7 linked regions of the Oryctolagus cuniculus genome follow. The protein of the gene in region 2 interacts with the protein of the main gene of each other region in a pairwise test. Links are inferred from orthologs where the notes say so. Each region holds a gene or a part of one and is shown on either strand. Other genes may lie near its edges.

The links.
Region 1: the proteins of BAG6 (region 2) and SERPINI2 interact in a two-hybrid assay, tested with the Homo sapiens proteins (2 studies listed by BioGRID and IntAct). The two-hybrid records come from large-scale screens. The link is inferred for Oryctolagus cuniculus from reciprocal best matches to the Homo sapiens genes BAG6 and SERPINI2.
Region 3: the proteins of BAG6 (region 2) and TAC1 interact in a two-hybrid assay, tested with the Homo sapiens proteins (2 studies listed by BioGRID and IntAct). The link is inferred for Oryctolagus cuniculus from reciprocal best matches to the Homo sapiens genes BAG6 and TAC1.
Region 4: the proteins of BAG6 (region 2) and SPP1 interact in binary tests that used the Homo sapiens proteins (3 or more experiments, as listed by UniProt). The link is inferred for Oryctolagus cuniculus from reciprocal best matches to the Homo sapiens genes BAG6 and SPP1.
Region 5: the proteins of BAG6 (region 2) and EFEMP1 interact in binary tests that used the Homo sapiens proteins (3 or more experiments, as listed by UniProt). The two-hybrid records come from large-scale screens. The link is inferred for Oryctolagus cuniculus from reciprocal best matches to the Homo sapiens genes BAG6 and EFEMP1.
Region 6: the proteins of BAG6 (region 2) and ATXN2 interact in binary tests that used the Homo sapiens proteins (3 or more experiments, as listed by UniProt). The link is inferred for Oryctolagus cuniculus from reciprocal best matches to the Homo sapiens genes BAG6 and ATXN2.
Region 7: the proteins of BAG6 (region 2) and KLHL12 interact in binary tests that used the Homo sapiens proteins (3 or more experiments, as listed by UniProt). The two-hybrid records come from large-scale screens. The link is inferred for Oryctolagus cuniculus from reciprocal best matches to the Homo sapiens genes BAG6 and KLHL12.

The regions. Positions count from the first base shown.
Region 1 is NC_091435.1:113,053,650-113,057,729, reverse strand, and holds the start of SERPINI2 (serpin I2), read right to left. Parts: upstream 2,801-4,080; 5' UTR 2,798-2,800; coding exon 2,551-2,797; intron 1-2,550.
Region 2 is NC_091436.1:138,962,309-138,966,507, reverse strand, and holds the start of BAG6 (large proline-rich protein BAG6), read right to left. Parts: upstream 2,801-4,199; 5' UTR 2,661-2,800; exon of another isoform or gene 2,485-2,660; intron 2,011-2,484; exon of another isoform or gene 2,007-2,010; 5' UTR 1,998-2,006; coding exon 1,890-1,997; intron 496-1,889; coding exon 378-495; intron 262-377; coding exon 65-261; intron 1-64. UniProt on the Homo sapiens protein: ATP-independent molecular chaperone preventing the aggregation of misfolded and hydrophobic patches-containing proteins.
Region 3 is NC_091447.1:38,674,634-38,678,599, forward strand, and holds the start of TAC1 (protachykinin-1), read right to left. Parts: upstream 2,801-3,966; 5' UTR 2,643-2,800; intron 2,341-2,642; 5' UTR 2,332-2,340; coding exon 2,209-2,331; intron 1,320-2,208; coding exon 1,223-1,319; intron 811-1,222; coding exon 766-810; intron 297-765; coding exon 273-296; intron 1-272. UniProt on the Homo sapiens protein: Tachykinins are active peptides which excite neurons, evoke behavioral responses, are potent vasodilators and secretagogues, and contract (directly or indirectly) many smooth muscles.
Region 4 is NC_091439.1:77,729,253-77,733,432, reverse strand, and holds the start of SPP1 (osteopontin), read left to right. Parts: upstream 1-1,380; 5' UTR 1,381-1,525; intron 1,526-2,558; 5' UTR 2,559-2,572; coding exon 2,573-2,626; intron 2,627-2,736; coding exon 2,737-2,775; intron 2,776-4,180. UniProt on the Homo sapiens protein: Major non-collagenous bone protein that binds tightly to hydroxyapatite. Appears to form an integral part of the mineralized matrix. Probably important to cell-matrix interaction.
Region 5 is NC_091433.1:146,726,815-146,730,314, reverse strand, and holds part of EFEMP1 (EGF-containing fibulin-like extracellular matrix protein 1), read right to left. Parts: intron 528-3,500; coding exon 366-527; 3' UTR 1-365. UniProt on the Homo sapiens protein: Binds EGFR, the EGF receptor, inducing EGFR autophosphorylation and the activation of downstream signaling pathways. May play a role in cell adhesion and migration. May function as a negative regulator of chondrocyte differentiation.
Region 6 is NC_091452.1:8,999,888-9,003,982, reverse strand, and holds the start of ATXN2 (ataxin-2), read left to right. Parts: upstream 1-1,295; 5' UTR 1,296-1,613; coding exon 1,614-1,849; intron 1,850-4,095. UniProt on the Homo sapiens protein: Involved in EGFR trafficking, acting as negative regulator of endocytic EGFR internalization at the plasma membrane.
Region 7 is NC_091444.1:18,641,575-18,645,074, reverse strand, and holds part of KLHL12 (kelch-like protein 12), read left to right. Parts: intron 1-607; coding exon 608-714; intron 715-1,844; coding exon 1,845-2,040; intron 2,041-2,855; coding exon 2,856-3,014; intron 3,015-3,500. UniProt on the Homo sapiens protein: Substrate-specific adapter of a BCR (BTB-CUL3-RBX1) E3 ubiquitin ligase complex that acts as a negative regulator of Wnt signaling pathway and ER-Golgi transport.

The sequences.
Region 1 (4,080 bases), on a different chromosome or scaffold from region 2:
ACTGGGATTAGGTGCCAGCTGTTGCATGCCCAGCTGTAGGTCATTGAGAATAAGCCAGGTGTTAGAAGGAAATGGTAGGCCAGGACCACGGGTTGTTAACAGGAAAAATCAAATGAGATTGCCTCAACAATAGTACCTTTCGAAAATAAGTAGGGGATTGAAAGCAGAGACAGGAATAAGGTAAGTCAATGAAACACTCACCTTGGTCATGAACTTTATAGGAACATGTAGAAAAAAAAAAAAAAAACCTCAGTTGCTGAGATAAATAATATTTCAATGCAATATTTTTTTGAAAACCAAGGTCAATGTGAAACACTTAATAAGAATAAGATACAACAATTTTAAATGCTCCTCCAGACAGGATCAGTGTTCCTAATTTTCCCTTTTAGCTCTGGTTCCAATATGGCTCTGCCAGGCACTGCCTCCTATCTTTACCTCAGTGCCTACCTACCCGTCTTGCTCCAGACTCCCTGGGCCTTTTCCTTAGTCTTGCAACTCACTAGTCCATTCCTCTGTACCCTTTCTTAGCTCTGGCTCTCCTCTTCCTATATTTCCTCATTTCCCCTGCTCTTGTTTTTCAGATTTTTTTTCCTATGTTCTTCTTTCTTGATAGTCTTTCTTCACCTTTAGCACTTACTCTCCATTTGTGTCTCTCTCTGCCCCTAACAGGGTATAAGAGAAAATTCATCTGATACATTTTGTTATATGTATTTAAATGTTAATGCATATTTTTGATATATATGCTTCCAAGGAAAATATGAAACTCTTAGCTAATACTCTTACCAAGAGTCTCACTTTATTAATTTTGAAATTATTCCTAGGCAAATTACTTAAACTTTCTTTGCCTCAGTTTTCTCATTTCTACAGCAAGCTTGTTTAGCTCACAGAGTAAGTATAAATATTAAATATGGTAATATATATCTAGCATATAATTCAGTGGCTGATACAGGCTTTATGATAGTGTCATCACTGTTATTATGATTAGTATGTTCACCATCCACAGTTTTCAAGATGGATCTATTTAAAGGCATTTACATTTCAGAGACTCTAATTTTGCTAGCTTATCAGGGAATCAACTTTACGTATCTTCATAAATGTTCTATTACATTTTGAAGCAGTATCATGGATGTAAATGTTCCTGGAAGTGGCGTTGTGAGATTTGCTGAGATTAATCAAGACTCAATCTGGAATGCAGTGGCTTCAGCACATACTGTTCACAAAGGAAAACTCTTGTAATTACCTTCTCTGTCACCAGCTTATTTTTATATAAAATTGCCTTTATTTAAATGAAGCAAAGAAAACATTGTAAATAGTATTTCCAGAAAAATACAACCCTAAATATAGCTACTTGGAGCCAAGCCAAATATTGTTATGGCAATTAAATTCCCAAATCAAAAATACAGATATCTTCACTGATGTTTAAGACACATTATCTGACACTGATGTAAATGTTTAAAATTAAACCACTATGAAAATTGAGGGCACAAGATGGCCAGGGAAATGGGCAACATCTTTGTGCTGAAAGCAGTAGCTCCCCGTAGGGAGATTCCAGAACAACCACAGAAACACAGCAAAAATGCCTCTGATGCGTGATTTAAATGGTTTTTTGAAAATTTCTTTTAAAATATTAACAATATGCTTCTAAAGTACATAAACGAATGCTTTTCCTTGGTCTCATTGTGGGTAAGAGTGCATTATTTTTTAAAGCGACATGTTGAAAACAACCTATTAAAGAATGATTAAGTAATGGTATTTCCAGAGAGGTAATAAAATGAAATAATTTAAAATTGTATGATGCGATTTCAAAAAGTGTGGGGAAAGTAGAACTAAAACACAGGTTTATTTTAGTGAAAAAATGTGAAATTCATGCATAGTGTGTTTTCATAATATTTATTTTTTGTGAACTTTTTGAAGATCTTTCATATTTACAGATTCCAAACTGTTGTGCATACAATAAATATATTTTTAAAAATAATATAATTTTCCTTAATCAAATTCTTTAACTTTTTTTTTTTGGAAAAAAATCTTCATCTATTTGAAAGGCAGAGAGACAGAGACAGAGAGCAGTCCCCTCTGTTGGCTCACTTCCGAAATGCCTGCTATAGCCAGACCCAAAGCAAGGAGCCAGGAACTCAACTCAGGAATCGCACATGAGCAGCAGGCACCCAAGTACTGAGCCATCATACTGCCTCTCAGGGTACACATTAGCAGAAAGCTGGAAACCAGAGAATCAAATGCAGGCATAATCTCAATTAACTGAAACTGGCTAAAAGAAACAAACCAGAAAAGCTGTGCAAACACACACAATTTCGTATCTGTGTAGATGTTAATTTCTTAGTAAATTATTTTTGTAACATTTTCATTAGAAAAGATTATAAACAATGAAAACTATACTTACAATTCCCCATTTTCTTACAATTTTATATTTTCTATAACTTTTAAAAATTTTTTCAATTTCAATGACCTTGAACTTTTGAACTTTTATCTAATATTTTAAAAATAAATTCCACCATATCTTATCAGGTATACATAAACGTGTCATGTTCTCACCAGGTGAGGTTTCCTGAAGTTTTAAAGTTTGTCTTATCTGTTGCTGGGCTTTTCCTTTTGCTCCCAGTTGTACCATTCCAAGAACCAAAGTTGTTCCAAAGGGAGAAAATATAATGTTGTTCTTATGTGATGAGCAAATAGCTTGATAGAGATCTACCGCAAATTCGGTATTTTTTTGAGCCAAGGACCTTGAGGGTTGACTTCCAGAAATAAGCAATAGGAGACTCCACAACAAGATCATATCCATTTTGATTTCTGTGCATTGCGAATTAACATTTTGTTAGCTTTCTGAATCCAGTTTACTACAATAAGCTCAACTGGAAACTTGATACATGTTAGAACGTTCTTATAACAAAACACTACCAAAAGAAGATTGTGCAATGCTATTTTCCTAAATAAGTATCATCTCTTAGGAGAATAGGTTCATGTGCTAATGGTGCTTTTATGTTCCTTCAAGAACCATTACCATACATTTGCAGTTTCTTAAAAATCACAGGAGATGCTGTAATTATGTAATATTATCAATGGTAATACGTATATAGATGCATGATACAATTTTACTTTCCTTTTCCATGGTTTTCAGTGGGATATCTGTAAATCTTATATCAAAGGAAATTCTGCCCACAGTACTTAAAATTATTGATAAATCAAGTGGAGATATGGGATTAAAATGAACACACTACAGTGTATTTTTTACCTGTAACATTAGGATGTTAATGTATTCTGAATCAACTGAGTAATCTAAATTTTTACCAGGGCCAGCGCTGTGGTGCAGCGGGTTAACGTCCTGGCCTGAAGTGTCAGCATCCCATATGGGCACTGGTTCGAGACCGGGCTGCTCCACTTCTGATCCAGCTCTCTGCTATGGCCTGGGAAAGCAGTAGATGGCCCCAAGTCCTTGGGCCCATGCACCCGCATGGGAGACCCAAAAGAAACTCCTGATTCCTGACTTTAGATCGGAGCAGCTCTAGCCATTGAGGCCAATTGGGGAGTGAACCAGAGGATGGAAGACTCTCTCTGACTCTCCTCTCTGTGTAACTCGGACTTTCAAATAAATAAATAAATCTTTAAAATAAATAAATAACTAAATTTTTACCATAGCTTTTCTCATATTTTACAGAATTTTACTTCTGTACAGAAAAATACTCCAAAGCTCACCTCATACTCTTCCAAAAATAAGTGAAAAGGAATTTAGAGTAATAACGAAGAAACAAAATGACAATCAAATATAAATACCACAATAATAACAAGGGAAGAAGGCAATTTTAAATATCAAAGAATAATTTGACAAAACTAACATATACAAGTTTTACAGCAACTGAAGACCACAACCAATTCACTGGATAAATGACACTATATTAAAGTACTCTCCACAAAAATCACAGGAAATTCAACCATCTGATTATACCTTGTGTAGAAATAACATTGCAATATTACCACATTCTTGGTAGAATATTGACTCCAAGTCTTCATAAATTTAATAATATCAATTTTACTTTACACATATTGTAGATTAGTGATACCTTAGTG
Region 2 (4,199 bases):
GATACCACAACCAACCAAACTACCCTTCCCCACAAAAACTCTGCCATGCAAAACACAAGCTTACAGGAAGATTGAAGGTTCCAACCATGACATAGCTGTTGGCATTCCGGTCATGAACTGTGGCCCCAGGCCCCCGAGTACCAGGCAGGGGTCCCCCACCATGGGTGGCTGAGGCAGACCCTGTCCCAGAAGATGCCCCAGAAGGGAGCTGAGTCTGAGGAGGAGCCCGTTCCACCAAATGGATAACCTTTCCCCCAACATCTGCAGAAAGAAAAAGACATACATCAAAATAGTTGTATGATCAGGTAAACCCATGGCCTCAGCTCATCCCTCTGAACACTATCCTCTACCTCTGCAGTGCCTCCCCACCCCCTTACTGTATTCCTGGAGCTTCTTGTCATCTTGCAGAACTCGCCCCTGATAGATGAGCCGCTGTTTCTCAGAGGGGATGCTGACAGAGGCAGCAATATGCTCTTTAAACTCCTTCACACTCATCTGCAAGGAAGAAAGGACACACACAGGAGTCAGATAAAGGACAGAGGAGGTACAGAAGAGGGACCATGCATTAGGGAAGGTGAGAGGTAGAACTCATATAGAATCACTAGCCAATTGTCTCCTATGTGAGGTAACTATCGTGCAAAGCTTGACTCAAAACAGAAGCAGTAAACTCAAGGACACTCATGGCACAGACCAGGAGAAGATGTGGATAAGAAACAAGAAAGCCGACTGCCAGCCCCCTCTCTCCTTCTTTGCCTGGTTCCCAAGGGAAGGTGCGCTCAGTGCTACCAGTGACCCCTTCCCAAACACAAAATGATACCAGGACAACCCTGTAATCTCAAAGACAGAAACAATGGCAAGGAGAATGGGTTAGGGAATCAGGTGAGGGAAGACTAGCCAAGAAGAAAAGGTAGCAAAAAGAAAGGGAAGAAAGAGAGAAAAAAAAAGAGAAAGAGAGAAAAGAATGAAGGAAGGAAAGAAGGAAGGAAGGAGAGAAAAAAAGAAAGTCATTTTTCCTACCTAGAAAACTCACTCTTATGAAATGCTAGAATGTTTACATACATCTAACCACAAAGGCCCATATTATTTTCTTAATAACATGTGATATTTTATGAAACTATAGATCAGTCTGCTCACAATTCTGTCTCTAGCTATTTCAGGAGTAAAGGCACAGACAGCTGTGTCCACAGCATTAAACAGAGTTTCAAAGTATGCTGCAAATACAGTAATTCCACTCGCTTGTCTACAAAAGCTCTATTCATTACGAATTCTTATGCGCATACTTAAAAAACAGTATAGGCAGTGAGCACCCAGCCTAGCAATTAAGATGCTCACATCCCATATCAGAGTGGCTGGTCAATACCCAGCTCTGGCTCCTGGCTCCGGCTTCCTGCTAACACAGACCCTGGGAGGCAAAATCGATGGATCAACCAACTAGATAGTGTTCCTGGCTTCCAGCTCCTGCCCAGTCTCAGCCACTGCAGGCATTTGGGAAGCAAACCAACAGATGGAAGCTCTGTCTCTTTTTAGAAAGAAAGAGAAGGGGAAAGAGGAGACAGGAAAAAAAAGAGTATACACCCATGTGACCAATTTCTGTTTATAGAAGACACACTTGTTTGGGGGTCACTGTATCACGTCCATTCCCAAAGGCTGTCCCCTTGGGCTGGAGGCCACATAAGATGACAGCGTACAGATTCCTCCTTCCTATTCTCTGCACTGACTTCCACCAAGTTGAAAGAAGGCAGAACAAAAATCTGCCTCACTCAACAGTTAAAAAAGTGAACAAAGAAATCAATGAAAACTCAAGGACTAGAACATCAGGCTCTTCTCCGTCTAATGGGCCCCCGGGACAAAGGGCCCACAGATGTCTTCCAGAAGTATCGGGGTCTCACCTGGGCCCCCACAATAAAGGTCCGAGTCTGAGAGTCCAAGGTCTTCACCAGCACCTCCAGGCTGTCAGGCTCCTCCATAGTGGTGCTGGTACTATCACTGGGCTCCATGGCCGACACCTCTCTAAGAAAGAAGGGGGAGAGGAAGGTCCACTGTCGCCCGGAGCCGATTTTAGATCCAGGAAGCCTCCCCGGGCTGAATCCCCGCCCCAATACCTAAAAAGTTTCTCCCGCACAAGCACACACACTCACACCCGCCCCCATTCCCCTTCCGATTCCGGGGCAACGAGAGAGAAACACAAAGGGCAGATCGACGGCACAGGGAACCGAAGGACAGGAGGTAGGAGGAGCTCCACAATGCCAATCACAATGAGGGCGGGTCAGTCGGCTTAAGATACGGGAAAAGAAGCAAGCATGGGACCAGAGACCCGTGTCATCACCAGTCACGGCACTACAAGGGTCCCAGAAGTCGACAAACCCTGGGACAACCCGAGAGTGGGAGTCGCGCCAGACTCCGCGGAGAAAGTGGTTTCGCGCACGCGCGCCACGCCCATCGAACCCGCCTAAATCACTACAGACCCGGACGGCGGACACTCACGGGGGGCTGGACCGGCTAGCTGACTGCCCCCCCACTTCCGCCTTCCCTCGGTGTTCCAAGAGAGCAGCACAACCAACACACAGCCACAGCCAAACACCATACACATACACTCCCCACCACCCTTCGGCTCCGCCCCCGACTTCCCCACGGTACCGTCACTTCCGGTCTCCCCCAACCTGCCTCCGACGGTCACTTCCGTTTCCCCGATAGTATCTGGGGAATCACGAGGCGGTACTTCCGGCTCCCCCAGGTCCCCAAGCGTTACTTTTGTGGGGCACGATTAGAAAGTCCGTAGCCCCAAACAGTGAGTTGCTGGGGGCGAGACGGGCAGGGGCCGGCCTAGATGGGAGGGAGCCGAGCACCCCGAGGAGCCGCCGCCGTCGTCGCCCGGGGACCGTACTGCGCCTGCGTTAAGTCTCATTACGCATGCGTGCACATTTAAACTCCGCCCACCCACCCCCTCTGGCGGTGGTTACTTCCCCTGTGCGCGCGCTTCAGCGATTGGGGGTTGAGGTGGCCACTATAAATGCCTGAAGAAAAAAATTGCCCGATGAGACTGCCACTGCCTCAAGAGAGACTACGAACTATTCGTGTAGACCTTAGAGTTTGGAGCCTGGAGATTTTGCCCCGTTAACCTATGTTAAAATCCTGGTAAGCGGAGAATTTTAGGCGGCATTGTCCTAGGCACCTAAGCCTCCTAGCGTCTCGCGGTCGTCCTCACGGCACCTTTGCTCCGGCGCCTCCGGAAGTCACCTTTGCCGTAGGCTGTTGGGGGCGGCTCGCGAGATGTTTCTCCGTGCGGTTGCGTCGTTGGGCCGGAGCTCGCTTGTGCCGGTTGGGGCGTTTTGCGGACTGAACGTAGTGTTTGTTCGTCATGGGCAGTGAGCGGCCAGGGAGTCACGCCATGTTGTAGGAAGGCTAAGCCTGCCGCTGTCTTTCAGGACTTTTGTCAAGAGAAGTGTTTTCCGAGTTTGAGAATTGTCGCGATGGAACCCGACTGGACCGAAAGAGGAGACCTTGACCTTGGAGAATTGAAAGGCCACCGAGGGGCTTCCGCAGGGGTGCGGTGGGGGGACTACCGCTTCTCTGCGCCCCCTTTCCCCCACGTCTTTCTGCGATTTGTAGTTTATACCCAGATCCCAGGACTGGTTCAGTTTAAATAAGCACCTGCTCAGTGTGCCAGCCAGTATAATAAGCGTTTTACATATTTTAAAGTTTTGACCTTGGAAATGGGTACTAACATCTGTTTTATAGGTGAGTACGCCTAGACAAACCTAGGTGGTGGAAGTGACAAACACGGGCCCAGTTCGACGTTACTGCTCCAATAAATTGTTACATCTTAGCTTTTTCTTGAGAAATCTCAAAGCATTACCCCCAAAATAGACTAGTAAAATGAACTTTCATATACCCTTCGCTCGGATTTAGCTTTGATTTTTTTTAAACCGTGATCTGTTTACACAGTAAATCACAAGTCCATAGCAAGCCTCAAGTCCCAGAGTAAATCTTTGTCGTAGTCCGCGGGTAGTAAGTAATTTGGCAATGGAGCCCTGGTCATTCAGCAGCAGTTCCTCCCTCAGCACAACCCAGTGACCACAGCGTCACCATTCTTCCCTTAGTGCCTATGGTTTCAGAGATTACCCACCAGAAACTAGTAAGTAGTCTGCAGATACTACTGTTATACTGAATATTTAACTTGGGACTTAACCATTTTCTGG
Region 3 (3,966 bases), on a different chromosome or scaffold from region 2:
TTACCAAAAACTAACAATTTACAGGGGCTAAAGGACAGCTTCCTTTCCTTTTTAAAACATCAAGTATCTTTTTGGTAAGAGCCATATTTTTAAGAAACAGAGCTTGACGCAATCATATTCTATATAATAGGAGTCTCATCCACTCTTATATAGTCTCCATTGACATATTAAGTCTATGTTAAGACTGAAATTAAGGTCAGCTATTGCATAAAGTGGTATTCAGTCTTGTTAACATTTGCACTTGAGAAATGCCAAAATAATCTTGAACTTACTTTTGTGAGAAATCTGGCCGTGTCCTGGCAGGAAGAAAGGTAACAGTTAACCAACACGTGCAAGATCTGTGCAGAGCTCTATCACATCTCTTAAAGAGGCTGCTAAAATACATCGATTTTCAAAATATGCAACATATTCCACTCCTGTCCCACCCTGAGAAATATAGCGGGACCATAAAGGCTAACCAGATTATTCATAATAAAAAGCAAACTAGTTTACAGCCCAAAGAACCATCACCGAGGGCTTTCTCTAGACCAAGGCTTCACACCCAAGATGCTGGGACACCTGAGGTCTGGCATTAACTGTCAAGCTGTGCCACCTCTCATCTTCAAGGCCTGACACCCCACCCGTGTGCGAGAGAGAGAGAGAGAGACAGACAGACCCATCTCTTTACCAAACAGCATAACCAGGATACTGCGTTCAAGCCCTACAAGATTTCCTTCACTTTTCTAATGAGAATTCACGATAGTCAAAGATTGATAGAGTGTTTACCATAAAGAGCCTTTAACAGGGCCACTTGTTTTTCAATTGAGGAATCTGACAAGAGAGGAGTTGGCATTAACTATTTACGTCCCACTGATGTCGCCATCAACCCAGGGAAACTGTGTTTCCATCTGGAGCCTCGGCACAGCCAGGTCTCGCCTAACCCGGGGGGGGGGGGGGGGGTGGTCAGCTTCCACGTGCACCACGACCCTGCGGACGCCTCCCCAAGAACGCCCCCGCCCGCCCCTCCCTTGCTAATTGGTATCCTTAGTAAGGGGCGCGCTGAGCTAAGGCTGGGTCCTGGATTTGGCGGTTTTGTGCACTCGAATGCCGGCGAAGCCCTCCCTCTGCAGGCAAGTGTGCACAGCGCCTTAGAGAGGTCCCGAGTCCCACCGCTCTTAGGATGGACTTATCTACTCATGGAGCAAGACACGAGCGAGCAGGCAGGGAGGGTTGCCCATCTCACCAGCATCCCGTTTGCCCATTAATCCAAAGAACTGCTGAGGCTTGGGTCTCCGGGCGATTCTCTGCAGCAGGTGCTCGAAGGGCTCGGGCAGCTCCTCCTGGAAGACAGACGCGCGGACACACGGGCGTGTGGGCCACGGAGCCAGGTGCGGGGTGGCCCGTGCCATTCCCAAAGCGCGCCCCGGCCCTGGGCGAGCCCCAGCGAGCCAAGGCCCGGGCGGGGAAGCCAGCTCTGCCCAGGGGGGAGGGGGGTCTGCCCCACGTCGGGCGCGGTCTGCCACTCCCGCACCACTCCAGCCCCGCGCCGTGTCCTCAGGCCCGGAGCCCTGCTCTCCCCTCTGCTTCCACGGACCCTGCTCATCTGCAGAGCCGCCCTCCCCCGAGCCCCTCCAGCCCTCCGCCGTGACTTTGTCTCTCCCTGGTGCGGGCTCCAGCGACCTCTTGCTGCCCCGAACACACACAGGTGTGTGTGTGTTTGCAGGGGTGGGGGGAGGGGGTGCTTTCCCCGCAACCCGCACCGCAGGCTCCCTGGCGCCAACACGTACGAGAGCCACCTAAAGCGAAACTCGCAGGTCCGCAAAATGAACTCGCAACGACCAGTGAGCCCCCGCTGAGCGCTCCTGTCCCCGGGGACCCCGTGTGTTTCCCAGCGCGCGGACAGGGCGGGAGACTGCACCTGCGTGAGCAGCGTCGCTCGGGGATGAAACCTTGCGAGGTTTCCAGCCTTCTGGCAACCCGGGGCTCGTAGGGGCGGACTGGACTCTCTCGGAGAGATCCCAGACCCTGCGCTGCAGCCCCAGGGAGAAAAGTTGGGTCCTGGGTGCAGAACCAGGGCGGGAGCGAGGGGGTGGGGTGGGGTAGGGTGGTGGAGCCACTTCCCAGCACTGCGCGCCCGCACTGCTGTGGCCGCGGCCGGGCGGACCCGCAGACTTCGTGGGGTCCCAGCCCCGGAGGAGCGGCGCGGGCTGTTCCCGGACCCGGGCTCACCTTGATCTGGTCGCTGTCGGACCAGTCGGACCAATAATTTAGATCATCGTTGGCTCGGATGTCTTCCGCAGACAGTTGGGTGGAGACGAGAGCCAGGACTGCCAGGGCCACGAGGATTTTCATGTTGGCTTTCTGGGGAGCAGTGGGAGAGAAGGGGACGGGAGGTGGGGTGGAGGAGCCCGTTGATCGGAGCGGCTGTCGGCGAGTTGGGGCAGCGGCATTTTCGGCCCCCAGACGGCACCCGGGATGAGTTGAACCGGGATGAGAAGCGCGCCTGGGTCCCGGGCCTCTGCTCCCCAAATCCCAGCAGTCCCAGGCTCCCCCAGCCCCCAACCACCAAATCGCACTTCCCTTCCCGCGGGACAAAGAAGAGGGTCAGTCTCCCACCCCGGCCACGCGGGATGGCTGCGCTGTGGCCCAGCGCGGGCACTTACGGCGACGGCAGGCCCGCGGGTCCCTGGGCTGCTCGGAGCGCACGCCGCGCGGTGCGGGAGGAGGTGAGCGCGCGCTGTGGCCCGCTCGGAGCCGCGCGGTTTTTATCCCCGGCTCGCGGAGCCTCCGGACCCACGTGACCCGCCCCCCCTCCCCACGACTTTCTGCTCAATATTTAATTAGCCGCCTCTTCCTTCTCTGCCGGCGTGATTGAGAGTTTCCGAGACGGCAACCCGTCGGTGCCCATCACATCTGGACCCCACTGGGCCCGCAGTGACGCAGTGTTAGGCAAGTCGAGGCTTCCGCATCCGTCTGCGGAGCTGACGCCCCCTCCCCTCGCCTTGACACCTGAGATTACTCATCAACCTCCAGCAAAGTGACTCATTCCTTGGACTGGGCCGACTTTGGAGAAGTGATAGTTTTGAAGCCAGCCGACCGGGTACCTGTGGGCAGCAGGACCGGGTCGAGGGCCAGCGGGCCACGGAGGGGGCGCTTCCGTGGGCCTTCCCGCCTTCACCTCTCCTAAATCCCCGGCAGCACTCACACTTCCCCAGCGTTGAGAAAGGGGTGTCTCAGGCTCATAGCGCTTCCGGGGAGGGAAGAGGATTTATTATACGCTTTAGGGAAACTGCACCCAGAGGCGCCCCGAGGTGGCTCCTGTCCCCCAAATCCTCCTCGCCCTGCACAGGAGGGCGTTTTTGCTTCTCTCCCACCCTGTCTTGCACGTGCCCGGCACTCTTAGCTGGTGTCACCCAAGGCATCCGCGGGGACTTCGCCTGTGCATCAAAGTCGGTGCAGTGAGCACGCGGACCGGCAGCCGTGCAGTCGTCCACAGCACAGAATTGTTAGGAAACTAAGGTCAGCGCCTGCTGGAGATCACAGCTTCCCGGGAGTGCACGCTTGCCTTGAAGACACATTTCCTTTACCTGAAGAGCAGAATTACAGGTGTGTGTGTGTGTGTGTGTGTGCGTGCGTGTATGTGTGTGTTGGGGGGAGATAGAGAAAAAGTTCTGTGGGCTGGTTCACTCCCCATTTGGCCTCTACGATCCGGCCTGGGCTAGGCCAGAAGCCGGGAGCCAGGAGCTCCATCTGGGTCTCCCATGTGGGTGCAGGGGCCCAAGCACTTTGGCTGTCTTCTGCCGTCTTCCCTGGGAGCTGGATTGGAAGTGGAGCTGCTGGGGCTTGGACCTGGGCTCCACTATGGGATCTGACGTTCCAAGCAGCCGCTTAGCCCCACTGGGCCACAATGCTGCTGGAGACTCGTTTCTTGCATCTTTATCAAAACTGAATGACATTGTATTTTGGGTGGAATAGTTTTCTCTTTTA
Region 4 (4,180 bases), on a different chromosome or scaffold from region 2:
GTAAAGCTTTTGAATATACAAATTATTTTTTTCTCATTAAATAACCAAATTCATATATTTTGGAAGAAAAACTGGGAAAAAAACACAATTCAGAAATCTAATCTTCCCTTAACATATGCATAGCCTGGGGCAGGCCCTTGGTCTAGCTGTCAAGCTCACATCCGACACTGGAGCACCAGCTCTGGCTCCTGATGCCAGCTTCCCATCAGTGCAGACCCCGAGAGGCAGCAGAGAGGGCTCCAGCAACTGGGCTCCTGCCACCCACGTGGGAAACTTGGATTGTTGTCCTGGCTCCTGGCTTCAGCCTCAGCCCAGTCTTGGTCATTGCAGGCATTTGTAGAGTAAAGCAGCAAATGGGATCTCTCTCTCTCTCTCTCTCTCTCTCTCTCTGATAAATAAAAAATCTGTATTTTTCAATTGAAAAACACACTAGGGCGTTTGCCTCTAATGCATACCCAACATTGTTATTTGTACATATACTGACTCATGTAAACCTCTCAAAAGTTCCAGGAGCTGGGTTAACAGGGTCTGCATTTCACAGATGAGGAATACAGGTATAGATAGCCTAGTGATGTGTCCAAGGTCAGGCCAGCAACTCTAGACGGAGCAGGGTTCAAGGCCGCAGCGCGGCTCCTGAAGCAGCCCTCTCAGGCGGTCATCCTGCTCTCGGTCAGACACGGCCCTGACTGCTGCAGCATCCACCGTAAATCGCCGCTCACTCTCTTAGTTGATGCGGTTTTTATACGTATTTACCAGATTCATCACCTCTGAACAATTCAGACCGTGCAACAAAAATCCATGTCATTGAAAGGTCACTGCAAGTCTTCCAACGGAACGAGCATGAATAGGGACCTCAGTGTCACTAAGATCGTTCATCTAAATGACAAGCTGCTGCTGACTTGAAGTCACAAAACGGAGCTTGAGTAGAAAGGGACAGAGGGACGCTTCCTCTCGCTGGGCCTCGACAGTGGCCTTCAAGTTCTTCAGGAAACAGAACGGCAACTGTGGTTGCGGATATCACCTTCATCTATTACTTGGGGAAACAAAAGCCCTTTCTATTTCATTTCATTCCAGGCTGATTTACATGCGTATTTTTTCGCCTAACTCAGAAATTATAAATAAAATCTCTGTAAGAACTAGTTACTTTCCCTTTCTTTTAGGAGACCCCTAAGTGCTCTTCCAGGAGTCCGAATGCCATTCCAGTAAATGGCAAAGCCAGTTAACATTGTGCATAAGTGCGTGTGTGTGTGTGTGTGTGTGTGTGTGTCAATTTTGGTTTCTTTTGTTTTTTGTTTCTAACCACAAAACCAGAAGGGGAAGTGTGGGAGCAGGTGGGCTGGGCTGTGGCAAACAACCTCATGACACATCTCTCCGCCTCCCTGTGTTGCTGGAGGATGTTGGAGCAGCATTTAAATCCCGAGAGGCTCCGGCTGTCAGCAGCAGGAGGAGGCAGAGAGCGCAGCATCCTCTGGGACTGGACTCATCTCGGGCCAGTTGCAGCCTTCTCAGCCACACGCCGACCAAGGTAAGCCTGCAGCCTGCTCCGACTGTGTTGCTGTCCATACTTTCAGTTGAATTTCATGGGCAAGTTCAAGTTGTAAGGAAAATAGTTTAAGCTGTGATGCTGTAACAGTTAGACTGCAGTTTTTGTGTTGTTGTTGAATAAGCAGATCAGATATGTTACAAGTCTGGAACCAAAGTGCTCAGATATTTTGAAAGCCAAATGCAAAACTTAGAAACATACCTATTGAATTCTCCAAAGACCTGAAGCAACTGCTTCCAGTCAGAAAAAAGTAAAATTCTATGCCCCCTTGGAATGAGTGTGTGTCTTTTAAATGGCTGGATGACTGTGGAGGCATTAAATAAAGAATAATCTTTTGTGCTATTGTAAACCACTGATAATGCTATTTTTAAATGATTTGGTCTATCTCATTTTCAAGGAAAAAATCCTTTCTGCATATTTTACTTCTGTGTTTAGCTGTTAAAAATGTCAACAAGAAATTTTTTAAAACCTGTATGCTTTCACTATTTTCTTCTTCATTTCAAACTTCTAGACTACCTTACCTAAATAACTAACTTGAAAGATAGCTATAATTCAACTAAGCAGCAGCTTCTTAATAATTTGGGTGTAAGAATGTGTTTTAAATGCATGCTGGAGAAATGGGGACAGCAAATTTCTTTCATTTTTTTTTTGCCCTTTGTGTTTTTCTTCTCTGAATATTAGGTACTCCCATGCGTGCTTATTATTTTAATTAAATTTCTGTTGATAATGCTTTTAGGTTTAGATATCGAGTAGGGGTGATATAATCTCTGGAACTCTAAATTAAAAACTGAATAAAATGGAGACTTGTAAAATTCCCCTCTCACTTGTCTAACAGTGAAGTGGAAAATGGAAGTGACAAACATGAATTCCAAAGACCATGTTACAAACAGACGAGTTAGTCCAACAAGTAGAATACATTCAACAGAATGTTTTACTTGTGATTGTTGATTATTTTGTAATGTGGCAGATTTTTACATTTTAACCTATGAAGCTGTTCTTACAAAATATTTTGCAGGAACAATCACCACCATGAGAATCGCTGTGATTTGCTTTTGTCTCTTGGGCATGGCCTACGCCCTCCCGGTGAGTGCTGCTACTCTTACAGGAAATTCACAGGAATAAGTGAACTGGGTGCCTTCTTGTGCTAGAACACAATCCCGCAGTAACGTTGCTTCCTCTTTTCTGTTTGAAAGGTTAAACACGCTGATTCGGGCAGCTCCGAGGAAAAGCAGGTAAGCACCTTTGAAGTCTGTCATCTAGTGAGATTGGTCATGTATTCATTGCCAGGAGTAGCCAAACATCTTTGTTGCAATTTGACTTACCTTCATGGTCAAGCCCATTCATTTACAACCCTGCTAATTGACCTCTGTTATGAATCTAGACCCAACCTAAGCACAGTATAGTTTTTGATAAATGCGTGTTCTTAAAAGCAAGCTGGGCTTGTTTTAACATGATAAAATAATTATCTGGGTCATAATCACATGTGAAGTGAATTCCATGAAGTGGTGTGACTTTCTTTCCATGAGTCAACCTGCTTTTCTAGAAGCAGAAAATTCCATCCTTTGCTTTACTTAGGGGAAAGCTATGTTTGAAATTCACCTTGGCTATGGCTCAGGACTGTTGTCTGACCACAATATCGCCTAAGAAATTTGTAGGACGCCCATTGTGCAAAGAAGGTCTACTTGTGCTGTTTGTATCTATTGTGCTCGTCAGCTGACTTTAGATCACATTTTTCAAACCAAGCATAAGACCAAACCAAACTATTATAATGATTTGACCAACACCCTAGAGGTACCTGCCCCTCCACAATAGATGAAGCTGTGCCAGCCACACAACAAATGGGCCTTGTTCTGAGAAGCTTGGACAAAAAGGCACACAGAGTTCAATTCCAGATGAATAGAATAGAGGCCAATGCAGAGTTGCCTAGGGTCACGGCCATTAGACTGCTTAATGAAGACATGAAGAGAGGTGCTCTGTGTGTGTGTGTGTGTGTGTGTGTGTGTGGCTGTGCATGTGTGTACATGTGTCTGTTGATTTGCGAACACAGATAGAATCACAATAACAAAGTAGAAAAGCTAACATCTCCAAAGAAGGTACAAGCCATACTATTCAAGGAAAGAACTGGTGCCTTTTAAAACAGAATAAAATCTGGCAAGGGTACATTGATGAAAGGCACATAGGCCATGACATTATGTCACTAAAGTCATGTACCATTGCTAGGAGAAATTCTCTCTCTTGCTCTCTCTCCCCTAGCATATTATAGTTATTTTCTAGACAAATAAGTCTCTGGCGGCTTAGAAAAATAGAATTCTTGTGCAACAATGTTGATATATTTTGTACTGTCTGATAAGACAGCCACTGGACACACATGGCTACTGAGCACTCAGAATGTGACTATGGCACCGCATTGGCCTGGTGGTTAAGATGCTGGGTAAAGACTCCATGTTCCATCTCAGAGTGCCTGAGTTTAATGCCCCATCCCAGCTTCTGATTCCAACTTAACGGCTTATACAGACCCTGGTAGGTGGCAATGATGGCTCAAGGGATTGGATCCCTGCCACTCTTGAGAGAGCTGAATTGGGTTCCATTCCCTGGCCGGCACTGCAGCTCACTAGGCTAATACTCCGCCCTGCGGCG
Region 5 (3,500 bases), on a different chromosome or scaffold from region 2:
TGCCTCCTATGAGACTGTGGGTGGAGCTATGGCAAGTTTCCTTAAGCACCACGAAAGATCTTCATTTCTCGGTCCCACTTTTACAGCAAAAAATCCAAGTTTCACCAGATAGTTTATGCTTAGCTCTCTTGAAAAAGACCAGTTTAGTGGATTAATGTCTAATTTACATACAGTAATAAAGACAAACTTTGAATCTTTACAGATTAAATGCCCACTTTATACCAGGGTGTAATTGTTTGAATTATGGGTGAGTGTAAAGTATATAGATGTAGACGTACTAGATATGTCTATAAATAAAAGAGTGCTTTAAGGTAACAATATTCTTTGGCTGATTTAAAATGCCTGTGGTGGACTCTTACAAGAGACTAAAATGCAAATGGCCCCACGATTATTGTCAATCGCAACACTGAGCTTGTGCGGAAGGTTCCTATACTGTTGACTGTCAGCATCTCCAGATCCACGATGTATTCTCTGGGTCCTGTCAGTGACTTCACGAGCACAAGCATTGCACTGACAGGACTTGTTTGCTAAAATAAAAGAAAAAAGAAGGTGAAAGAGAATACTTTTTCTTGAATATTATTTGAATATTTTCTTGAGTATTTATTAATTATTAGTATAATTCCTATAAGAATAAGGAAAAGAATTTTGAGGTTGAGATAAAACAGTTACTAGTTAGTCCTGTTTTAGTACCAAACCTTCTTGGTTCTTATCCCTTGTCTACCCACGGTCACTAGCTCCAAGTTACAAGTACCTATTTTTAAAAGTTTTTTGCTTCCTATTCTTCTCTGTCAACATTTCTCTTCCCTTTTATTGAGTAGCTCCAGCCTTTACAGAGACTAGAGTTCAGGCCGGGATCTGATAATTTTTTAACAAGTACACAGTACTTTCTTAACATTGTACACTTTTTATATTCTCAAAGGTGAAAACCCATGTAAATTACAATAGAATGAGGTGAATGTCAGGCTCTATGGAGATCTGTGGGATTACAGAAGGGTGTATATACATACAGAGAAAGAGGAAGAACCCTGAAAATCGGGCGATGGCTTCTGATTGCCTGAAGAGAGTCACCTAGGATAAATGGAAGTTTTGTAAAGCAGTACATTCAGGAGAACTGGATGCAGTTTCCTTATGATGAAGAGTATGATGGGTACTGGAGAGCTGTGCGAGATGAGGTTGGAGTAGCAGGTGAGCAGATGTGTGAGTCTGGATGCTAACGGGCAGAAACATGGATTAGGAATTAGCAATGACCCCAACAGTTGGACATTTAACCAAAGGATAGAATGTGTATGTGATAAGACGGGAGTTCCAGAAAAGGACAACATTTAAGGAGAAGGCAGAGGAGAAATTGTTGAAGGAAGCTGAGAAGAAATGATGATTCAGCAGAACACATATGAATAGCCCATAGCATCCAGTAGAGCAGGGGAGGATGAATTACATAGTTCCCTCTGGGGTTAGCAGAAAGGATGGCATTAGTGTCTTTTTTTTTTTTTTTTTTAAAGAAATTTCAGTCAGGTAGTAGGAGTAGAAGACAGAGAAGTGACTACGAAGTGAGGACTTACAGATCATGATTACAGATTGTCTAGGGAAGGAAGGAAAGGGCAAAATCTGGAAACAAGTTAAATGCATAGAAGACAGAGGAGATTCTAATGGACAAGTTTCCAGAAGAGATGGAATAAAGAAAACAGAAGCTGGGTTGGCCTTAATTGACAGAAGTAACTGTCTTTGGAAACTAGAAGGAAGCAATAGGAAGGGGGACACATGGTGTGTGTAGGGGTGTGGGGTGGAAAGTTCAGGTAATTCATGCATGTAGGTCTCAATGGTTTCAGAAAAATAACAGGTGAGGTCTTCTTCTGAAAATAAAGGGAGTATGGAGACAGTCATGATTAAGAACTGAAGAGAATGGAACTAAAGAAATATGAAAAAGTTATGGTGTGTTATGTTGAGCTTACTGAGGACTTATCAAAGGTGGAGACTAAGATTTGATAGTGGCCGGCGCCGCGGCTCACTAGGCTAATCCTCCGCCTAGCGGCGCCGGCACACCGGGTTCTAGTCCCGGTCGGGGCGCCGGATTCTGTCCCGGTTGCCCCTCTTCCAGGCCAGCCCTCTGCTGTGGCCCGGGAGTGCAGTGGAGGATGGCCCAGGTGCTTGGGCCCTGCACCCCATGGGAGACCAGGAAAAGCACCTGGCTCCTGGCTCCTGCCATCGGATCGGTGCGGTGCGCCGGCCGCAGCGCGCCGGCCGCGGCGGCCATTGGAGGGTGAACCAACGGCAAAGGAAGACCTTTCTCTCTGTCTCTCTCTCTCACTGTCCACTCTGCCTGTCAAAAAAAAACAAAAACAAAAAAAAAAAAAAAAAAAAGATTTGATAGTGCAATGTGAGCTGACAAGCTGGGGAGGAAAATAGAAATGGATTATAGGATTGATCCAGGATTACCATGGTGACAGTAGTTCAAATGTCCACTAAGAAGTTGATATGGAGGCCAGAGTGTGGTTTAGCATGTAAAACTGCTCCCATGACACCAGTATCCCATATAGGTGCCAGTTTGTGTCCCAGCTGCCCCACTTCCAATCCAGCTCCCTGCTAATGGCCTGGGAAAAGCAATGGAATATGGCCCAATTGTTTGGCCCCTGCCACCCATGTGGGAGATTTGAAAGAAGCTCCTGGCTCCTGGCTTTGTCCTGGCCCAGCCCTGGCCATTATAGCCATCTAGGGAATGAACCAGTAGATGGAAGATCTCTCTCTCTCTCTCTCTCTCTCTCTCTCTCTCTCTTTCTCTCTCTCTTTTTCTCAATCTGTGTGTGTGTCTCCCTCCCACTGTTTCTGTAACTGTGACTTTCAAATAAATGAATAAATCTTAAAAAAAAAGAAGTTGATAGACTGCAAGAAAATAAGAGGAGGGGATTACAGGACTAACATCATTTTGAAGGTGAATAGCAGAGGGAGTAAGGGCATCTGAGAGAGAACAGAGTCAGTTACTGAATTTCTATTCAACACTGGGGACCAAAATTCTCTATGGAGCTGTTCTGAATGATTATAAAACCCATAGAGCAGTCACGGGCCTTGGTGGCAAAGTAGAATGAAGTTGAAGATCAAAGGAGATGAGATGGCTAGAGAATGGTAGATTGAGGTATGAGCTGATTCTGATAGTGCCAGATGAAGTGTCAGAAAGTGAAAGGCTTCATAATTTAGCCCCTCCTTCTCTTCTGAGGAATCTAATCCACTTAATACACAGTTAAGCCTTCAACTATAACATACTTCCCAGCACTTTGTATTTGAGTTCCAAGCCCACATGTCCAGCTGTCTATTACTTGGATGCCTGATGGAACCAGAATTTAATACATCCAAACTGAATTCATCACCAGCCCAACACTAGTTACTTTTTCTTTGTCTCAGTAACTTGCAACAGCATTTACTATTGCTTAAGACAGAAAAAAGAAGGGTATCCTTGGTACCACCTTTCCCTCTAATTTTAGCAAAGCAAATGGGTTATATCAAGTCAT
Region 6 (4,095 bases), on a different chromosome or scaffold from region 2:
TTAATTTTTAAAGGGTTGTGCAACTGTCAGTTTAAAAGACTACATCCATCGTTTGTTAGCCTCAGAAGGGAAATAAAGCTGATTTTCTACTTCAGGAAAATCTACTTCAAGTGACTGCAGGAGTGAGGTTGGCCCCAACTCCCTAGGAGGTTATTTTACGTTTGCACTACCGAGGAGCCCTGGATTTCTAGCCTCCCAAGTTTTTCCAGGTCTTTATCTGAACAACTCCAGATGGAGGGGGAAATTTCGGTGTCCCCTTCTCCCTTCTCATTTCCTGAAGTAATTTCACTTTCCAAAAAGGTGGATTCATGGTTCCAAAAAAAAAAAAAAAAATTATCTACTTGCTTCCCGTCTAGTTGCAACACATTTGCAAAAAAACGGCACCGCCGTGCGGGCGGGCTCCGAGTTAAAGCACAACTTGGGCAGGGGTCAAGGTCTGAAGTCCGCGCCTCCAGCGCCCGGGGCCCACCGCCCGGGGCCCTGCCATTCACGCGCATTCCCCTGGCGTCTCCGGAATGAGGGGGAAGTTCAAGCGAGGGTAGCAGAGTTCACATGAAGGTCAAATGCCCAGAGGTTTCTGGTCACTGTGTTGCTGCGAGCACATGTCAGGGAAAGGTGACCAAACGCCGGAGGCCCCGCAGGCCGGCGGCGTGCGGGGCTCCCGGCGCACAGAGCGCGCGCTGCGGCGGCCGCAGCGCCCTGGGGGCTCCGGGCTGAGCCCCCGCCCCGAAGGCACCCGCAGGCCATTTTCTGGGTTGCATCAGGTGGGGGCGACCCAGGTCCTGCCAGGGCCGCGAAGACGCCGGGTGGGGACACTCCCTCCGCGTCCTCCAGCCCAGGCCGGCCCCGCAGCCAAGCCCGACACGCCCTCTGCGAAGGACACACCCGCCTCGAGGAGGGTGGACCCGCGCGCAGGGCCCGCCGCCTGGTCCTCACCCGACCCCCGCGGACGCGGCCCAGCGCGGCGCCCGGACCTCACGTGTCCCTCCCGGCCCCGGGGCCGCCTCACGTTCTGCTTCCGCCCGAACCCTTCCGACTTCCGGCAAAGAGTCCCCCCCGGCCCCGCACCTCCGCGCCCACCGGGCACAGCCACCCGCAGCCTCGGCGCGCCAGGCCCCCAGCCCCTCGCGATGCGCCCGGCAGCCGCAGCTCCTCCGAGCCCCGCGGCGGCCGCTCCGGGGCCGCGCCGGCTCGCCGCAGCCAGGTGGCCCGGCAGGCGCTCGCTCCCGCGGCAGGCGCGGAGGGGCGGGCGGGGCGGCGGCGGCGCGGCCCGCGGCCCGTATCCCTCCGCCGCCCCTCCCCCGCCCGGCCCAGGCCCCCCTCCCTCCGGGCTGCGCTCGCCTCCCTCCGGCTCAGACTGTTTTGGTAGCAACGGCAACGGCGGCGGCGCGTCCCGGCCCGGCTCCAGTCGGCTCCTCGGTCTCGGCGGGCCTCCCCGCCCCTTCGTCGTCCTCCTCCTCCCCCTCGCCAGCGCGGACGCCCCCCCGGCCGCGCCAGCCCGCGCCTCCCCGCTCGGCGTCCGCGCGTCCCCGCCGCGCTCCGGCGTCTCCTCGGCGCGCCCGGCTCCCGGCTGTCCCCGCCCGGCGTGCGAACCGGTGTATGGGCCCCTCACCATGTCGCTGAAGCCCCAGCAGCAGCCGCAGCCGCAGCCGCAGCCGCAGCCGCCCGCGGCCGCCAGTGCCCGTAAGCCTGGCGGCGGCGGCGGCGGCCTCCTCACGTCGCCGGCCGCTGCCGCGCCGCCGCCGCCGCCGCCGTCCTCGTCCTCAGGCTCGTCGCCCTCGGCCGCGGCTCCCTCCTCGTCCTCGGCGGCTGCGGCGAGCGCAGGAGGCGGGCGGCCCGGCCTGGGCAGGTGGGTGTCGGCGCCCCAGCCCCCAGGGCTCCGGGCCTGCGGGAGCCGCGGCCTCGCGTCCCCTCCCCCGCGGCCCGCACCGCCGTCCCCGCCCCGTGACCGGCCGGCTTGTGGTGGGGGGGACGCGATGGGCTGGGGGCCCGCAGTGGGGGGGGGGGCGCTCTGTCCGCAGCGGGGTGGGGGGGCGCCGCGGGATTCCCGTGGGATCGTCGGGCCGCGTCCAGCCTCCTGCAACATCGCCACCCCCTCCGCCAGCGGTCAAGATGGAGGGACCGGGCAGCCTCCCCTTCCCAGGGAAATGCTGGGGAGGGGTTCTCCGGTCTTGGCAGCTGTCAGCCCCCGTCCCGCCCCTTTCAAGCCTCCTTCGCCCCAAACGGGAGGATATGCTTGGGCAGCATCCTCACCCCCGGGTATCTGAGTGTTCGTGTTGGAGGGGTCAGCAGGTTGGGGGGTCGCGGACTGCGGAGGGAGGCGGGGGGCAGTGAGGGCAGCATCACCCCTGCTCGCGTCCGGTCTCCGCGGCCGCCGCGTGCTCGGGGTCTCCCGCAGCGGCCCGCCCTCCCCCGCCCGGGCCTGGGTGGGAGTGCCCGGCTCTGCTTCCCCCGCGAGGCCTCTCCGGCGCGCGGCGGCGGCGGCGGCCGAGCCGCATTGCTGTGCCGGGGCCGCGGAGGGTGGGGAGGGGGCGGCGGCCGGGAGCGGGCCCGCGGCGCGCTGCCCCACCCCCACCCCGCTCTCCGAGGTTTCCCGGGGCGAGGGGTTGCCGCAGGGCGCGGAGGTGAGGGTGCTTGCGCCCCGTCCCCGCGGGTGTGCTGGAGGCGGGGGGCTCGCTGTGCTCCGGGCTGAGTTGGACTCTGGAGGGTGTGTGCGTGCAGGAGGCCCTAGGGCGGGTGGTTGTCAGTTGGTATTTTGCGAACCACGAAGATGCTTAGTGTCAGGGAAAGGCGGGTGTCCGACTCCATTCCATCGTGGCCGGAGTCCGCCAAGGGCACGCAGGTTGTCCCTGAGTGCACGGTGCGGGCCCTGCCGCGGAGGGCCGGTGGGATAAGGGGATCTTCAGCCCGTTTCCAAGGAATGCTCACTTAGAGCACAAGTTAGCCGTTAAGATGGGTCAGCCGGTGTTTAAGGGATTCCGCCTTCCGTGTTGACCGGACCCCCTCGCACTCCTGTTCGCCCGCTGCGGCCCTCCAGACACGCTTAGAGTGGTCTCCGTGAGCTGAGGGCTCGCACAGTGCAAGTCCACTGGGGGTTCTGGAACTAAACTTCCCTTTCTCAGCGCATCTACAGGAAAATGAAAACATTTCAAATACAAGTTTTGTTCTAGCTTCTCTTAGGAGTGAGGAAGAATTGGCAGATATATTTAACTTGTGCAAACAGTTAGCAAAGCTAAAGCTTTTAAGTTGCATTGGCTGTACTAGGCTTAAGTATTAGACTGTAACAAAGAATCTTTTCCCAAGTTGTTTGGTCTGAGATTGGGATGTTCCAGTTACAAAACTATTCCTTGAGGCATCGCAGAAATTTAAGGTTAATGTAGCGTTTTCCTTGCTTTGAGTTCTTTTAACTGGAGGTATGCATTGTAGTCTTCATTTTTCATAAATAGGCCAAGTTTTGCTTAATGTATGGGATTCGTTTTTCAGGTCTTAAGTAATGGACTTGTCAGATTGCTTTCAGTTTTGCTCACTTTATTGAGTTCTTTGTATATCAGCAACAGCTTCTAGAGTTGCCCCGTGTTTGTGTATATCAGCAATTAGAGTAAGTTTCTGGGAGCATGAGTGAAGAAAGGGCAGCACTGGGTTTGACAAGAGTGATTTATTCTTTGTCATTCCTTTTTTTAATAAAAATATTTGTTTATCTGAAAGAGTTATGAGGAAGGAGGGAGGGAGAGAGGAGAGAGAGCTTCCATCTGCTGGTTCACCCAGATGTCTGCAATGGCCAGGGCTGGGCCAGGCCAGGGCCCGGAGCTTCACTGGTGTCTCGCCTGCGGATGGCAGGAGGCCGAACCCTTGAGCCATCCTCCACCGCTTTTCCCAGGTGTGTTAGAGAGCTGGATGGGAAGTGGAGCCGCTGAGACGCTGACGTCACAGGCAACGGCTTTATGGCTGTGCCACAACACCGTATATGCCACATAGAATTTCAGAGTGGCTCTTTTAGGAAAGAACAGTGCAACCACAATATTAAAATTTGAGCATAACTTTTTTTTTTAAAGATTTACTTATTTATCTGAAAGAGCTACACACAGAGAGAAGGAG
Region 7 (3,500 bases), on a different chromosome or scaffold from region 2:
CAACACAAAACATGGCCCAAGTGTTTGGGTCCTGCCACCCATGTGGGAAACCCAGATGGAGTTCCAGGCTCCTGGCTTTAGCTTGGCCCAGCCCCAGCCATGGACATCATTTAGGAGGTGAACCAGTGGATGGAAGATCTCTGTCTCTCTCCCTCCCTCTCTTCCTCTGTCACCCTGCCTTTTAGATAAAACTAAATACTAAATACACAGATATTAAAAAGAAAAATCCCCCCGTGTGAGTGCCCATCCAGCCTGGCGTGAGCCAAGAGTGCCTGTGCCTCCCACCCACAGGTGAGACCTCAGTTATGGTGGCAGCGCCAGCCGGGTAGGTGAGGATGGTGTGGTGATGTGTTCAACCTGGCCGTCCAGAGTTTCAGTGTGGGCCACACGTAGGCTCCAGAGCTTCAGTCCTCCAGAGCTAGAGCCTCTAACAGCAGTAATCTCCTCCTAGGCAGTCTGTGATGGGATTCCTTTCTCCAGTTGCTTCTCTCAGCCACGTCAGACAGGGCGTCCTGGAACTGCTGCGTGCACTTCCCGGGGGGGGGGGGGGGGAGGTACCCAGGCCGCTGTGATGAGGTCACCTGTCTTTTTCTGCCTTTGTCCTTAGGAGCCAATGAGGTGCTTCTGGTGGTTGGGGGCTTCGGAAGCCAGCAGTCTCCCATCGACGTGGTAGAAAAGTATGACCCCAAGACTCAGGAGTGGAGCTTTTTGCCCGTGAGTGAGGGGTGGTTTGTGGGGAGAGAGCTTCAATGTGCACAGACGCTGACCTGGGTTGTAACGAATGCAGCTGGAAGAGCAGAAAGGCCCACAGGCAGCGTGATGTTCTCACCATCACGGCCTTGTCCGTGCATGGAAGATGCTCAGGGAGCCGAGGTCCTGACTTTAGAAAGTTAGGCTTTAGAAATAAGTGTCTGTGGCCCTGTGTCAAATGAAATTCAGCTTGTCCCACTGGTCAAGTGCCTGTGTAGGTGGCCTGCATGACTCCCAGCATGCTTCATTGGTCATGCTGTGTCCTACTGAACTCAGTGTTAAATTGGGGTGGACATTTGGTGCACTGGTTAAGATGCCACTTGGGACACCCACGTCCCCTACCAGAGTGCCTGGCTCACGTCTCAGCGCTGCTCTGTATTCCAGCATTCTGTCCAAGTGCACCCTGGGGCCAAACGGTTGATGACTCAAGTACTTGGGTCCTTGCCACCCATATGGGGGCCTAGGTCGAGTTCCTGGCTGCTGGTTTCTGGCTTTTGGCCTGGCCCAGCCCCAGTTACTGCAGGCATTTGGGGAATGAATCAGTAGATGGGAGGTGTCTCTCTGTCAGCCTTTCATATAAATTAAACAAATAGATGAAACTGTTGAAGATTATTAAATTGAACTCGTGTTTATTGAACTCAGAAGTTCATATTGTTCTCCCTCGGTATGTGTCTATTTTAGTGTTGAATGAAGGATAATTTCTGAGAAAGCATGGAACTTTTTTGATCGATCCTCCTCCTACCCTTTAGGGCCTATGAATTCTGGCCCTTTGATTAGCAACGTGGGAGAGCTGTGCCAGTCAGTTAGCCCAGGCCTCTGGAAAGGAAAGAGGTGGTGGGCAAGAAAGCCGTTAAGTCTCGAGGCAGCTTGGGAAGAGGCAGCTGTGTCGCGGGCCTGCATCTCCACGCAGCACAGCAAGCCTTGCGTTCAGTGGACAGTGAGGCCACGTGCGCAGGAACCAGTGCCTCAGGGAAGGCTGGTGGTGGCAGGTGAAGCGACAGATGTGCGTGGACACACACAGCGGGCTGGCGAGAGCTGCAGCCCCAGACTCACCTGCCGGAAATGCTGTGCACCTCTTCCCTCCCAACCCCTAGAGCATCACGCGGAAGAGACGCTACGTGGCCTCAGTGTCCCTCCACGACCGGATCTACGTGGTCGGAGGCTATGACGGCCGCTCCCGCCTCAGTTCCGTGGAGTGTCTGGACTACACGGCGGACGAGGACGGGGTCTGGTACTCGGTGGCTCCTATGAACGTCCGCCGAGGCCTCGCGGGAGCTACCACCCTGGGAGGTAGGTAGGTTGGGTGCACAGGGCTGCATGTGCCAGATCAGGGTTCCCACCTCTCCTGTTGTTAGGAACATGAAACCTGAAGAAAAAATTGGTAAGCCCACGTGGTCCTTTTTGCCCTAGAAGTATCAGTTACAGAAGCTATTTAATATTTGTGGATATTTCAACACTGACTACAAAGTTGGTAAATTCCAGTACGCTGGCTGGGGAACTGGCAGTGGGTGTCTTCCTACAGGCTCCCATGTTGGCTTCAGACACTTTGAAGGATTTCATCGTATCCTGTTCTTTTTAGATGTCTTGACTGTGCTGCTGTCCTTGTCCAGAAGACGTAATTAAACATTTTGCTTTTGCTCCCAGGCGTTTGAAGAACCTGTGGAGAGTTTGTAGAGGAGGCTGGTGCTGTGGCTCACTAGGATAATTCTCTGCCTGCGGCGCCGGCACCCTGGGTTCTAGTCCCGGTTGGGGTGCCAGGTTCTGTCCTGGTTGCTCCTCTTCTAGTCCAGCTCTCTGCTATGGCCCGGGAGTGCAGTGGACGATGGCCCAAGTCCTTGGGCCCTGCACCTGCATGGGAGACCAGGAGGAAGCACCCAGCTCCTGGCTTCGGATCAGCGCAGAGCCGGCCGTAGCAGCCATTAGGGGAGTGAACCAACGGAAGGAAGACCTTTCTCTCTGTCTCTCTCTCACTGTCTATAACTCTCTTTCTCTCTCTCTCTCTCTCTCACTGTCTAACTCTGCCTGTCAAAAAAAGAGTTTGTAGAGTAAAGAGTCCTTGGAAATGTGTCATTCTCTCAAATCTACAATTTGTTCATTCTGGGCAGATATGATCTATGTCTCTGGAGGCTTTGATGGAAGCAGGCGTCACACCAGTATGGAGCGGTACGACCCAAACATTGACCAGTGGAGCATGCTGGGAGACATGCAGACAGCCCGGGAGGGTGCTGGCCTGGTAGTGGCCAGCGGAGTGATCTACTGTCTAGGTATGCAGCCTGGGGTGCAGGAGCCTCCGGCTGGGGGTCCCTTTGGGCCAGAATGAAGTTCATAGACTCCTGCAGCGAAACCCTGGTCTGTGTCAGAACGCGTCCCCTCGTGAGTGGCAGTCCGCTCTGTGTGTGCAGTGTATTAGAACTGTGGGAATGCTAGGCCGGCGCCGCAGCTCACTAGGCTAATCCTCCGCCTTGCGGCGCCGGCACACCGGGTTCTAGTCCCGGTCGGGGCGCCGGATTCTGTCCCGGTTGCCCCTCTTCCAGGCCAGCTCTCTGCTGTGGCCCGGGAGTGCAGTGGAGGATGGCCCAAGTGCTTGGGCCCAGCACCCCATGGGAGACCAGGAGAAGCACCTGGCTCCTGGCTTCGGATCAGCATGGTGCGCTGGCCGCGGCGGCCATTGGAGGGTGAACCAACAGCAAAGGAAGACCTTTCTCTCTGTCTCTCTCTCTCTCACTGTCCACTCTGCCTGTCAAAAAAAA